2 linked regions of the Neodiprion lecontei genome follow. The protein of the gene in region 2 purifies or fractionates together with the protein of the main gene of each other region. This does not show direct contact. Links are inferred from orthologs where the notes say so. Each region holds a gene or a part of one and is shown on either strand. Other genes may lie near its edges.

Region 1 (6,017 bases), on a different chromosome or scaffold from region 2:
AATGATATACTTAGTTCTGTTTCTACAACTATTTAGTTGAAGTTAGAAAAATCTGTTTTTAATTTAATTGAAGGGGCAGTGTTGAGTTTAATTGCTTGTTTCACTGGCTCCGATAATCTTGATTGCTTTTGAACCTGCTGCTGGTGGCTGGATTTCACCGCGTTTTCGAGCTTTGTTTTCAACTCTGTAGATTGTGCCATCAACGTCTTAAATTCCTGCACAATATGCAATATTTTATGTGGACTATGCAATATTCGTACAATTCATTGCAGAAAAATTATAAGTATCAAACCTGAGGGTACTTTGGTCCTATTTTATTCAGCCATTGAAAACTCTGTTGATGGAGAGTGATTTGGAATTTGGATCCATGGCGCAAGGCATCACCTTCCAGTAGATAATTTATCAGAATAGGCACCAACAGAGTAAGCATTTGAATACCTGAAAATTGAAAAAAGTTCCCAATTATATTTTTTTTTATCCAATGACATGATACCATGTAGTTGGTTGGTGTGGATATTATTGAAAATAACTGATAGAACGAACACCCTGGAAATCGTCACCTACCTTGCATAAGATCTCCTGGTTTGCATGCAAAATTTAATTTATCAATACAAAGAACCATAATTGTGAAAGCAGTTACAATTTATTATCTACTCACGATTAGCAGGTTCAGCTAATGATATGAGTGCTTCAATCGTTGCTATGCTTTCTAATGTAAGAGTTAGCTGAGTTTCGTTTGATACTTGTTTGCTCGATTCACTGTACAGATATTCCACCAACCTTGGTGCGAGAGCGTGGATGTAGGGAGTACTGACACTGCGTTCATAGTGCATGAAGATTGTTCTCAATGTTTGTATGCACTTTAATTTAACCTTTAAGAAAGATACATTTTCTCATTCAATGATAAGGTACTAGGACGACCGGGCAAGAACGAAAGTTCGTACTCACCAGAGTATTTTCTGATTGAAGACACTGCCGAAAATGATTGATGCAAGGGTACTGTAAGTTCGGCGCACTCACAACCTCAGGGGATGCGTGGAGGACAAACACTGCAATCCCTAACATCATCGCAACTTCATCCATTTTCGTTTCATCACAACCTGCAATCCAATCATTATGAATGTACGTCGTAATGAGGTACGTACATGCAGTAACGATGATTTTAGATTTAATATGGCTTACCTGTTTTTGCAAGATCGACTATTTTAGCAAGAGCACTCTGAAGCAAAGTTTTCCACTGTTGTTCACTTCTTGCATCAGTTGCGTATTTATTGGTCATAAGACTCTTGAGACAATGCAGAGCCCCGTGCACAGGTGCTCCAGGTCCGACCCCAGAATTATCGTTATCTGTGCGAATCGCAGTCTCTCTAATTACCCCAGTTGTTAAATATAACAACGTGGGTAGAATCGCAATGGCACCTGTGAGACAATGCAGTTTAAGTATTCATCGCGTACATGTAAAACTTAAAATAAACCGAACTAAAGCTTGATAGCAAAATATGCACCTTATCAGCATGATTTAAAATATGTTCTTACGAACAAGTATTAACTTAACGTGATTGTTGAGAATTCTTTTTATTATAAATTATCGATGATATACATCGACACATCAAGTAATTTCAGGACCAACCTTGTGGAGAACAAAGCCTTGGAAGACCTTCCATCACATTCAGAGTGGCAGCAATGAGCCTGCCACATTCCTCCGATGCTGTATATCCCCGATGAGACAACACCGTTGTCGCACCACCTGGACTGGGATTCAACGCTGGTATTTGTCGTACGAGTAAGCACAAGCAAACTTCTAGTACAGCAAAAACTAAAGATTGTCCTGGAATAAGGTCACCAGTTTCCTGCCCTTCCCCCAGTTCATCGACCTCTGTGGTGTCTTTAGACTCTTGATTTGCAGGAACAAGTTCTGAAAGTGAACGAATTCTATGCGTTAGTAATAAAATAAATAATGTATTGAATCATTGATAAAAACGAGTTTCATGAACAACCTTTGAGTTTCGATTTTTTCCGATCTGCAAGGTCTTCTTGAGCAGCACGCATTACTTGTTTCAGTACTTCCATTACCATCATTTGAATGGTATAGCTTTCTCGCGTCAGTAGCAACCTGTATAGTTAGAATAAGATGAATAAAATTTTGTTGACCAGCGAAAGGCAACGTAGGATAATGAAAAATGAAATTAAAAATTGTTGATACATCGAATAAAATTAGCAATTTTCAGATTTTGTATTGGCTCTGTAACTTACCTGTGAAGAACATTGCAAAGCTCAATAGGAAGGGACCGATCAACCATAAGTACGTTGCGTGCCCATATAGAATCAAGTAAGGTGTAGAGAGCACTCAGACATGTCTCTACACTTTGGGTAGACTCCGAAGATCGAGGACTGCACAAAGCTTCCATGCATATACCTTGAAGCGAAATATGGAAGAATGTTCAATGCAATAATTTGTAAAATGAGATTTTTCATTGTGAGGTATGCAGAAAAAATCTTACCAAACAATAAATGGAATCGTTCGACATTAGATTCTGTATTGGTAGAGTCATTATTATTATTACGGCCAAGTTTATTCTTCGTATTAGTATCGACATTGGCAGGTTCTGGAGATTCGAAGCCTCTAGCATTCAGCCACAGTGTTGCTGCATGAAGTATTGGAGCCCAAGACTCAAGGTAATACGGACGAGCTGATTCCATTGTATCAGTTGTGTAAAAAGCTCCTCCATCGTGAGGAAGCTGACTTGAAAATTCTGAAACAATTAAGTTGCACCCTTGGTATCTTCTACTTTTTCTTTTTTCTGCATCAAAAGACTCTATAATCCACTTTTGAAAATAAAATGAAAAAGGAAACCTGAATGTATTCAATATTCAATCATCGGTTGAAAACTACAATACCGTCAGAGTCTGACGTACAGCCTGAGTGATTGACTTGGTCTCATTGTTAGCCACGGCGCTACGATCTGGAGCCGTATGAGCCAAGTTTTGTATTTTGCAAATGGCGGACACAGTAATCAATAGTACGTTTACGTGTGAAGTAGTACAGAGTACATTCGAGTGCACATTAGTGAAGAAAAAAATAGGATGGAAACAATTTTAGAGCAACAGCGTCGCTATCATGAAGAACGGGAGCGTCTCATGGACGCAATGGTCAAAGAAATGTTGCACAAGAAGCCGGGACATAGAGAAACGATAAATTCAGAACATCGGCTGAAAATGCTATTAGACCAACACATGGACAGCACAGCGCATTTGCAGGATCTCTACGAGGATAACGATGGCCAACGAAAGGACGAGGTCCAGGCTTTGTCGGGACCGAACGAGTTCTCCGAATTTTATTCGCGACTCAAGTCCATCAAGGAATTCTATCGGCGGCATCCGAACGAGATAAGCGTCCCGATGTCGGTAGAGTTCGAGGAGTTGGCTAAAATGCGAGAAAATCCAACAGAGGAACTCGCAAATCTCGTCGAATTTACCGACGAAGAGGGCTACGGGAAATACCTCGATCTTCACGAGTGCTACGAAAAGTATATAAACCTGAAAGGTATTGAAAAGGTCGATTACATAACCTATCTGTCGACTTTCGATCATTTATTTGACATTCCAAGAGAGCGTAAGAACGCAGAATATCGCAGATACGTCGAGGCGCTCCTGGAGTACTTGACCGAATATCTGACTAGGGTTCGTCCGCTCCTTGATCTCAATGCTGAAATCGAAACAGCCAATAGAGAATTCGTGGTACACTGGGAAAACAGCAGCTTTCCAGGGTGGCCAAAGGAGACCGGAAGTGCTCTAACTAACGTTGGGGCGCACTTAGAGCTCTCCGCCTTTTCCTCTTGGGAAGAACTCGCCTCGCTAGGTCTGGACAGATTAAAATCAGCCTTACTGGCGCTGGGTCTTAAGTGCGGTGGAACTTTGGAAGAGAGAGCGCAGAGGTTGTTTAGCACTAAGGGACAAGCCTCTCTAGATCCGAGTCTGCTGACCAAAAACAAACCGGGAAAACCAGGCAAAGGAAGAGACGTGGAAAAGCAGAAGGAGATCGCAATGCTCGAGGCTCAGGTGTATAGGCTTGCCGAGCTGGTATCTAGTCAGCGTGTCGCCACTAAAGAAAATGTTCAAAGAAAACAGGCGAGAACGGAGGGTGAGAGAGGTGATTCTGATGCAGATGCTAGTGCCAGCGAGTCGGAAGAAGAAGATGACAACGAAGTTCCGTATAATCCGAAAAATCTACCCCTCGGTTGGGATGGCAAGCCTATACCATACTGGTTGTACAAACTTCACGGTCTCAACATCAGCTACAATTGCGAAATTTGCGGAAACTTTACGTACAAGGGACCCAAAGCCTTCCAAAGGCATTTTGCAGAGTGGAGACACGCTCACGGTATGAGATGTTTGGGGATACCAAATACAGCGCATTTTGCCAACGTCACACAGATCGAGGACGCTCTAGCTCTGTGGGAAAAGCTCAAAGCACAAAAACAGTCGGAACGTTGGCAGCCGGAACAAGAAGAGGAGTTTGAAGACTCTCTAGGAAATGTTGTGAATCGGAAAACTTACGAGGATTTGAAACGCCAGGGTCTACTTTGAATTTGAACGCAATTAATGTAATAATTTGTACAGCATGTATCGCGCAGGCTTCATTTGTTTCATTCCATATTCTTGTATGCATGATTCTGTTATACTAATCAAACACATGTTTAAACACGAAGCTAAAGAAGAGATTCGTGTCTAGAATTAATAATTTTATAAATTCTAATGTGTATTTAAATATATTATCCTCAAACGAACGAGGTATAATATAGATTAAATATTATGCTGTAACAAATTCAACTACATATTCACCAATTCTCAAATGGATTTTGTGACCATATTTGTAAGAAAAGATGAACTATAAAGGACCTAATAAAAATGTATTTATAAATGAAATTCCGCAAATATCTAGCAGTTGTATTTCCAAAATTCATTTTTTATATGAGTGGGATAACTTACCAGGTGGTAGGGAGAGTAATGCATGATCGCGCAGGGCAGCTAACCAATGTTGACTCAGACTTAATAACTCTGGCTGAACTAAACTGAGTAAACTTTCATTCTGGAACTCAAATTCGCCAAAGCCTTCTTCTTCGTTTGCGGCAGTTGTATGAGCCTTATTTCTTGATGACGTCTCTACATTTCCAGGTGCTGAACCATCATTAATCATTGCCACCACATACACCTACAACATTGAATCAGAACACACGCGATGAATTTCTCACATGGCTTATTGCAATTATTGAATGATGTGGTGAATCATCTGTAACATGGAATTACGTATTTACCTCAGCCCAAGCCTTTAATATGGCCAGTTTTTCTAACGTAGAAAGGCTTTCATTGTATAATTGTTGATGAGAATGTCCGCCTCTTAATTTTTCCAACGACGATACAAGCAGTTGATGTACTCGGCGTAAATCATTGAGATCCCTTGCAACACCACTACCAATCCATGCGCTACAAGCTTCACAAGCTGCAGCGGTGACGTGAGATGCTGTTTCTGTAGAAAACGCTGGTCTCAAGGCAGCACCAACCTTTGTGATAAGATTATCGTTATTTGATCATGGGAATATAGACTGAGTAGTTTTTCGTGTTTTAAATTTTAGCAAAATAATCACCTGTGCTTGGAATTGTTCCAGAAGTAAGTGTCCAGGAAATTCTGGTTCCGGAACTTTGGCAAATTTATCAATTATTTCTTGTAAGGTCTTGAGACCTTCTAATCGCAAAGGATCACAATCACTGGTCGCAGCCATAAACGCCATACGCACTAGATCTGATAAGTGTAGTACTAGAAAATCTCCTGAAAGGTGAAAATTAAATTGTCAAATCACAAAATATGGGCCATAAGTATCCCAATCATTTTGATTGTGAAAGAAGAACAGGAAAGAAAAATCCAGGCGTGGTACATACCTCTTCCTCTGGTGAGCTGCATTTCCTTAGCTAAGGCCAGATCAAAGTGTGCCTGCTTGTTGACAAGACAAGCAGTGATA
Region 2 (9,284 bases):
TAAAACAGAGACCTCGAAGCGCAAATGCAGCTTACATTCTTATCGACAACATAATTCAATCTTATCAAAGGCTTCGGAATGGAATCATAAAAGTCAAGAGAAAATCATTTTCACTTTTCCGTAGGTATAATTATTTCTGCAATACATTTTCTTTCTCATCGAGTGACCAGTGAAATGGAAAACCCACCCTGAGGATGTATGGATAAATTTGGAAATATATAGAATCATTTTTTTTTTTGCATTTATATGCAGCAGCTGATAAAATGGAGGACGAAAGGAATAAAATTAATTCTGTAGATAATTTAGTTTCAAATATACATTTATTCATATCATATGCAATTGTAACTTAAAATACAGATTACTTCAAATTATATTTCGCAGACATTCCGTTTAATTCATTCGTTTCGTTCATACAGATTCCATGAAACATTACATTACGCATGCAGTAAAACCGAAATAGCAAATGACAAGAATTAATTTATGCAATGGTAATAATTGAGTCCAGCAAGAGAATGATTGTCAATTGGTAAAAGAGATGACGCGAAGTTTTCAGGATGCTCGACAGTTGATATTTTCGCGATGTCTATGGTAGACGTTGGTTTTATCGTACAAGTTTCACCTTTGTCCAATTTAACTGAATTTCGTCAGAGGTTCAACTAAAGACTGGCAGGAGTTCATCAGAAAATAGTAGTATATGAATGACAGAAATCAGGCATCAGTTTATATTCACCTATTAAATTCCAATCTGACAAAGAGAAAGGACAGAAAAACAAGAATAAATTGTACGGAGACTAAAAAGAAGGCTTTTCGCAGCGTTTATTATTGCCTACTTAGAATTTATGTACAAAAACGATTGATGTAACAACGCTGGATAAAAAAATTCTAACACTAGCAGAACGAGGATATCTGAGACCGAAACTTTCCCAAAAGTCCCAGTGCTACGCATGCTCATCACAGCAGAGGTGAATAGCATATCTGAACAATTATTATCAGTAGTAGAGTCATTTCTAAAAATTGCAGAAACAAGCGATATAACTCAAGTAACCGCGTTTTAAATTAATTTCGCGATCAACATTTTTAAAAATAAAAAGATTAAACCGTATTTTTAAACGCTGTAGTCACTTCTATTACACGACACTTGTAGAACAGTTTACATCTGATCGAGATTTGCCTTAACTACATTTAATATTAGTTCAAAAGTATAAACTTTTTCTTACACATAGTGATTCGTATGTACAGACTTATGTACCTCGGCGCCATTTTTCTCCATTGCTGAACTTGGTCATTTCACGACCACTGACTCCACAAGTTCCAATGCCTACCCTACCATTGACATTTTCCGGTGTCGCAAATATACTCTTCTTCACAACCCCCTTCTTACTGGACTGTAAAATAAAACCAAAGAGTTCGAAGAAATGATTAATTTGCATCTTAAGAAAAATTACTATTCTTCTCCAATAATGCAAGGTACGTATATATGTTTAGAAATTCAATAATATAGAAGTAAGCATTTACAGTGAGAAAATAAATGCTGAAGTGTAGAGTATTGACATCCGTTGGTGACGTTAGTTGTGCCTGCTTAATTATTACTGAAGTTGTACCTCGATTGTTCGGGAATTACGAGACTGCGCGGTTCATAGACAAGCGGAGAAGCACGAACGATTCGAAACACGTTTGCTATGCAATTTTCAAGGGGCAACTCTGAAATTTGTAGCAATTTTCAAGAAGACACGGGCGATAGAGAAATACTTTTCATTCATATCTGTTGTGACTTAGTGTGGCGATTATTATCCGATATTTAGAATCATCACAAGTAGATCACAGAGGTCTTTACAACTATTCACATATTTTCGTTACCACGTCGTCTCGATCACGATTCCGGGGTCATCTTTTAATTGAACAAATCGGTGTTATGTGTGAATATTCGTGATAGTTACGCGTAACGTAGAACTTTGTTTTCTAATTCTAAAAGATAGTAAAAATGTGTAAGTTGTAAAAATTAGATGTTAAAAAATACAAAAATTTCAAACTTTTCAATATCATGGGTATAAGGGTCGATGGCCACACTTATCAAGAATATTCATGTAAGACCCCGACTTTTTAACGATAAGATGAAAGCAATCTTATTCAAGGTGACATGGCTAGTGAAAATATGAGAATGTTTGTGACGTCGTTCGTGACTAACTTGAGATAATTGCTAAAAGTTGGAAAATAAATGCCAACAATGACAACAAACTAGGTCAAAACATATGCAAATAAAATTACCTTTCATATTAACCGTATCTTGGAATTTACCTGAAATTACGGGGCTGAAGTTAGTAACGATACCCCATCGAAAGTTTGAAACAAAAATTACTATTTTGGACATTTAGAATAAGTGAATAAGTTGAATTTACAAAACTGAATTTTTTGATGTTATATTAACGGTGTACTAAATTTCAGGTAATCCTAAAGTTGTCAACTAACGACTATTTCTGAAAATGCATCAATGCAATAACGTTACAAACTTCAGCGTGATGAAATTTCATAGTTGAAGGTATGTACACGTTCTCTTATGGAGGTGTCCTGGTCGATTTTGACGATGACGTATATATCTCCAGATATTAAAGTCCACGTATCTCAAACGCGAAAAAGGGCTTAACAGCCCTATTCTATACGCAATTGTGAATAAAAGCACTCCAATCCGTTTTCCTTAGACGCAAAAATAAAGAAATGGCATGGCTTCTACAAAATCGTAATAGTAAATTCTTAGGTTTCTTTGGTTCTACGTCGAATGAAAATGTATTGGAATGTTTTTGTTTCGAATTGCGTGTAAACTTGGGCTGTTAAGCCCTGTTTTGCGTCTAAGATACGTGGACTTCGATACTTGGGAGATATATACGACAACGTCGAAAGCGATTAGGAAATCTCCTTATCTTAAAAAAGATTTTTAAAACACTCTTGATGACAAATAGCTGAAGTAAGTACGTAATTGAACGTGGGCGAGAAGCTCGAGGAGGTACAAATTGAAAGTAACCACGTATAATAAACGAACAGTTCGGCTGGTTTGTTTACCTTTTGGGGCGTGCGGAGTGAAGCACGGGCGGTTGTCGACACTTTGCATCGCATTGAAACGCGCTCGTGCACACGGAACGAGAAAAAAAGTGTATGTAAGTAAACAAAGGTTCGCCTCGTGAAATTGAGCCCGGAAGGGATAAATTCTGCGCCCGCGTTTAATCGAGGTTCAATTGTAAGTAGTTAATATCAACTTTAACCGTATTGAATATTGTAGTATATTATATGGTACGAAGTTTAATAATTTGTATGTCCGGAAATATTGAAATACGCTACGTGTGCGAAAGCAGACTGACGATATTTCTTCACAAGCAATAATTTCTGTGAAGATAAGCGTAGCGGTGCTTTTCACGTCGCGTGGCAGCAAATTGTGTGTGAAAATTAATTTTTACATGTCTAGAGAGAATACAGCGATAATGCAAAACTGATACACGAAAAAGATTTCATACATATCCGTAGTGTGATTAGTGGTGACAATACAATTGGGCTTGAATTCCAGCACTAGTCAGGCTGGCCACAAATTTTTGAGAAAAAAATTCCATGATATTTCCACGTTTTCTAAGATCTAATACCCAGTTTTCCCTGACATTTTTCCACTTCTAGTAAGTTACTAGAACCTAAATCGTGCAGGTTATTAACTCTGTATTCAGTTCGGATTCAATTCGAATTGGAGAAAAATATAATGTACAAAAATGTCAATTTAAGCCAAGTTTTTTTCTCGACGTAAAAAAGTAAATTTGTCACTTCAAACAATCATTTCTAATACCTATGATAGAAAACTGATATTTTCAGGTTTTTCCATGATTAAAATAAAAATTCCCTGATATTTTCAGGTTTTTCAGATTTTCCAGGTGTGTGGCCACCCTGACAGTAGCACAAATACGAATGTAATGAGGGTCTATAAAAGTGTTTGACAACTTGTCAATACAATAACAATTAATGTCTGAACAGTGGTTGCAGGAATCAAATGAAACAGAAAGAATGCATTCCCTGGTGCGCAAACTTTTTGTTTCATTGGTAATTAAAGAGACTGATTGGTCGAAAATCGATACTATTTAGGTAATTTCATTAGGCAATACACACGTATTCAATTTATATCAAATTTTAATGTTCACAATGGTACGAAGATCTCTTAAAAAATCGTAAAATTAAAAATGCTTGAATTACGAGGAGAGGCAGTTACAGATGTCGATGCTTCACTTCGACTCGCTACACAATATTTGAAAATCGGGGAGATCCGTTCGATTGCAATCTACGATGGCCAATTTTGTGTAGAAGACTATTTTGTACAAAGTCACTAAAACTGAATTTTTTTGTAGTAGTCAATTCAATATTGCCATTTCTTGATCACGATAAATATTTATTATTTTTGTATTGTAGGATTTTTTTTATAATTCCAGTATTTTCCATTTTGGTATTTTTAAAGATATCTGTGTAGCAATATACATACAGTTATTTGATACATACTCGACACAACTATATTGTGATAAAATTAACAAAAGTCTGAATTTTTAACCAACAAATCTACTTACTTGAACAACATAGTTATAGCATATTCATTATTCGTACCTTAGTTGTGAAAGCCAGCCACTTGTTTTTCTCCGATTCACGCTCCTCCTCAAGCTCCTTGAACCTTTGAAGCTTCTTTTGCTTTTTCTTCTTCAAATACTCGCGTTGCTTGTTAGGATCTGAACCAGCGATCGCTGCTGCTTGCATCTTCCTGCAAAATAAAAAACCTATCATCCACGTAGACATTTACTAAAAAGAAGAGATACTTATTAGGATGCTCTAAATACGTATATTCATATTGATTTTAATTGAATAGCGAACAAGAGCATTTGATTCTTTTTGCACATTTGGGGCAGAGTTCATTTTTAAAAACCAAATATAACAGAACAATCCCTGAACTAGAAATGAGTCCAGTTGAAATGCTGTCTCCACCGGTTGTCACTATTCCCACATTTTTTTTCCAAGATCACGTATTGATTGAAAAAGGAAATCGAAGATGGTGGGAGTCAGCAGGATATTGAATCGGGCAGGAACTTATTCAGCAATTTTTAACATACTCATTGAACCAAGTTATAAAACAATCCCATGTATTAACTGCATTTTTCACTCATGCTAGCATTAATTGTGCATGTTTCAAATAAATCTTGATTGAGTTTCAAAACTGATCTTTGTATGAGAATTTTATACTTCGGTCTTAACTTCTGCAAATAAACACTATTACTGCAGTGATTAATATAATAGTTATTAGCATGTAATTCCAATTCATGTAAGGTAACATTTTGTTGCCTCTTTGGGTAAACAATCAAACATACTCATATTGCTCTGATATTTAATAAGTATTTTTTTATAGCATCCTAATAAGATTCCCTGCTTAGTTTATTATAGAGTAATCATAATTCAACTATTATAATAAGTCTATAGCTTTGATAACAATAATTTCAATATAGGTGAAATATTCGTTAGATTATGCTTGGACTGGTAATCAAGATGAACTAACAGAAAAATTGCACATATCAATTATGAGAGATTAAAACCAAACATTTACCAAGTTTTCAAATCGTGATAGACCGATCGTAACTATGTACAATAATCAGTAATAAAGGGCTATAGTCTTGAATAATTTTACCTTCTTCTGGGCTCCAGTAAAAAAGGTTAATAGCACAGCACATCAAATGACCAACAATGGGGTAATTGACATTGGGGATTGTGGATGTCCGGAGTATTGTTACAGCAATTTTTATCAGGATTCAAGAGGAATGGGATAAAAGTTGGGTATCAGTGCGTATTAGGTATCACAAATGCATTCAACAAAAGTATGTAAAATATTAGAGTAATAATATGATTATCTAACTATGAGACAACATATCCATCCGTATTGGCTTGTATTCATAACTAAGAATAAGTATTACTGGTTAAAACTTGATGGATAAATTATAAAGTTACATCTTTAGGAAACAATGCCATTTTAAATGTTTAAAAATTGTAAGATAGTAGCAGAATGTGTTACTCACTTCGACTTTTGATCTGCCCAGTCCGAAGCTGGCCTTTTAGCAACAGACTTAAGTTGGTCAAGCATAGTGACATCGGTATTTTTGTATTCATTGAAAGTAATGTTGACTGTACCATCTTCACTGATTGTGTCTATTGTTGCTTCATAATATCTGTAAAGTAATCAATTCTTTCTATAGAAATATATTTTAAGTTTCATCGGGTACGGAAAAAGATCCAGATGTCAATTGGTAATGAAGAGAATATGTCAAATAATATATTCCATGAAAAATAACATGTTTATCATTGAGTATTTTTCAAACATGTCTAACTGTAAGACGATACTTACAGTCCTCCAAAACTCAATATACAGTACTAAGTAAACAAACTTTGGATCAGTGACTTACTTGCCATCTTCGCTCCACGGAGCCATGCACTGATCCCCAATTTTCCATTTGTTTGCTAAGACAGCTAGGAGGATCGGATCCTTCGCATCCATTCCATTTGCCTGCCGTTTTTCTTGTTGCTGCGATCGTACCAGATCATGAGTCAACTCTATGACTTCCTCTAAGTCTATCTTCAGTTTCAACAATTCTTCATTGTTTGGGTCTGTGGTCAGTGCGGCTTCAACCTAAAATATTATCAAAATTCATAAATATAATTGCAGATTCAGCATAAGTATGTAGGTAAGGAGCGAGATTGTAAGAAAGAACGGTTTTGTAATCCGTTTGTAATCTACGAGGTCAATAACGAAGGAAAAACCGATTATTATCTGAATATTTTCAGGTTATAAACATATCGTTGGCCTATTTCTTGGGGTTAACTCAGCGTATTCGGAATAAGAAGTAAGGTTAGAAACAGTGATGATTTTATATACATAGATATTAGCCATGAGAATAGAAACTAACCTGTTGCAGTTGAAGCTTATAATTCTGTAAATCATCCATGATGAAGTACAGCGTTTTAACAAATCACCAATTAAACGATCCAACTGTTGTTAAACCTTTCTAGTCCACGATACAGATAAAAGACATAACTTGTTAGTTACAAGATGGCTGGAGAACCATATTCCAGTTCTATTTGCATTTAAGTCTGATAGCGTGAACAGCGGAACGAGCTGGAATTGAAACAAAATGGACGAATCATGTCACGTGATCGTTGCGCATGCGCAATATCAATCAGATGCCTTCGATTACATTTCAGATGCATTTCAGTGTGTTGGATGAATTGCGTACAGCGTAATTGCGATTTGAGGTATTTGAAGTTAACGGCGGGTTCATACCTATACTTGTATGAGTCCATTGATAAAGCTGGTTAGGAAGAAGTAGGAAGGGTCGATGTGAGCTTATGACGTCATCAGCAGCCACTAATGGCGGTATATTTGAATTTCCACTTGATAAATTAGAACGTACACGGACCCCGTTGACTCTTTTTGAGATTTGCAGAAATTTACGTACGAAAATGCTGATATTTGGGAAAAAATTGCCACCCTCTAACTTGAAAATTCGTAAGGGTGCCGATATCCATGCCGATATGATGTTTTTTTTTTTTAATATTAGCTGAACTTGCAAAATTAAAAAAAATTATCAACAAAAATAAAAAATGCATGACATCGGCTTGTGATAATCTGTACCATTTTTTTTTTACCCATACATCGCCGTTCTCGCGGCTTATTTCTGAGATTCGCAAATTTTAGGCGAATTATTATCTTAATAATAAATTAATAATTACCAAAGAAAAGTTTATTCTCGGTGGAGGAAGGTCAAACATTAAAATCTACGTGTTTAGGAATTCATTATCCGTAAAATACGTTTACTCTTATAAATCTGTCGGTTAAAAAAAAAAAAATTATTTTTCGCACGCCAAAATATAATGTCTCTACACAGAAACTTCTTTTATTCGAGGGTATTAATTTAACTAATGAGCTTGTAAAAAAAAAATGAATTGTTGTAAGATGATAAAATTTTCGACAAAATCGCAAAAAGTATCGTGAGTATTATTAAACCACTGTGTAAATTTAAAAAAAATGAAGGAAACGTGTTGAAGTATTGCAACTTTTAACATACTGCATGTATAGGAGGAGCTTGCAGGAGATTAGCTTCGCCGACTGCGGCACGAGTTTCGAATTACATTTACTCGCAAACGAATGGCCTAAAATCCATGAAACTTGACGTACAACTTGCTCTTTCTTATAAATCTGATTAGCTAAAACCAGTTATTTATGGGAAGCCGATTTTCGGGGTGGCCGGATAAAAATTTTCCGAGGCCCCTAACACATAAGGATTATCGTAGTATCCAACTTGTTTGCAAGTGGCATGCAAGTAATATAAAACATGAAAAAAAGATAGACTGAACGTTGATTAGAGGTGCACGATCATTATGGTTAGCCTGCAGGTTTCAGTCACAGCACCAGGTGCGAGGATCTAAAGAGCAGATTCGATATTTCTCAAATATTCAGGTATCTTACAGAAATATCGACCATCGCAAAGATACAGCCACGAAAATATCAGTATTGTATATTTTGCAAACCTTATTCGACTGTATGTGAGAAAACAACCAGAGAGTAAAGAATTATCAACTGAAACAGAGAGGAGGTAATACGATTGATACATATAATTTAACACACGCGAAAATTTTTTCCTAACGACGTAAAATTTTAATTGAAGGATACTGTGATGTCAGAAAAATACTGCTATCCTTTGCCTACACTGATGAGCAAAGAAATCATGTTCCGAATGATGTACAACAATAGCGCGAACCACAGTATTACTGCACATATAGCGGATCAGAGTCAGAGTGATGCGGAATAATCGTGCCAGGTTTAAATTCTGCCTAACGCTTCGTCATGTCTTGCACGATCCACGTATACGAGCGTGTTTTTCAATTTTATTTATTATGACTTGGATTGCCACCAGCTGCACGCGTTTTGATCTACGCATTCCTAAGTGCAGACCAACCAGCCAGATTCTTCATTCGTTCAGGGTATGCAATATAAAATGTTCCGTGAAATCGCTATCGTCAACTTATTTACTTAGGTTTAATTACATGCGTTTAATAAATACCTACCTTCAATATTTACCTACCTACATGAATGTAATGTACAACGCATAGCATATCCTTTCAACACTAGTAAATATAAGTAAATATGTAGGAATTGCTTCCTACTCCGATGTTATGAAGTATTACTCTGAAAGTATGATGCAAATACGATGTGTACGTGTATAGGAGTTTAC

What was found.
Region 1: the proteins of survival of motor neuron-related-splicing factor 30 (region 2) and splicing factor 3A subunit 3 purify together in Homo sapiens (affinity purification with mass spectrometry; 3 studies listed by BioGRID and IntAct, with this or other methods). This does not show direct contact. The link is inferred for Neodiprion lecontei from reciprocal best matches to the Homo sapiens genes SMNDC1 and SF3A3.

What each region holds. Positions count from the first base shown.
Region 1 is NC_060263.1:30,615,733-30,621,749, forward strand, and holds splicing factor 3A subunit 3, read left to right. Parts: upstream 1-2,989; 5' UTR 2,990-3,084; coding exon 3,085-4,587; 3' UTR 4,588-4,926; downstream 4,927-6,017. Other genes in the region: HEAT repeat-containing protein 5B, read right to left, coding at 33-215, 293-438, 565-579, 659-872, 949-1,100, 1,183-1,419, 1,631-1,915, 1,998-2,113 and 6 more. UniProt on the Homo sapiens protein: Component of the 17S U2 SnRNP complex of the spliceosome, a large ribonucleoprotein complex that removes introns from transcribed pre-mRNAs.
Region 2 is NC_060261.1:14,159,978-14,169,261, reverse strand, and holds survival of motor neuron-related-splicing factor 30, read right to left. Parts: upstream 7,146-9,284; 5' UTR 6,999-7,145; coding exon 6,960-6,998; intron 6,683-6,959; coding exon 6,459-6,682; intron 6,225-6,458; coding exon 6,075-6,224; intron 4,775-6,074; coding exon 4,624-4,774; intron 1,386-4,623; coding exon 1,242-1,385; 3' UTR 1,218-1,241; exon of another isoform or gene 746-1,217; 3' UTR 302-745; downstream 1-301. UniProt on the Homo sapiens protein: Involved in spliceosome assembly.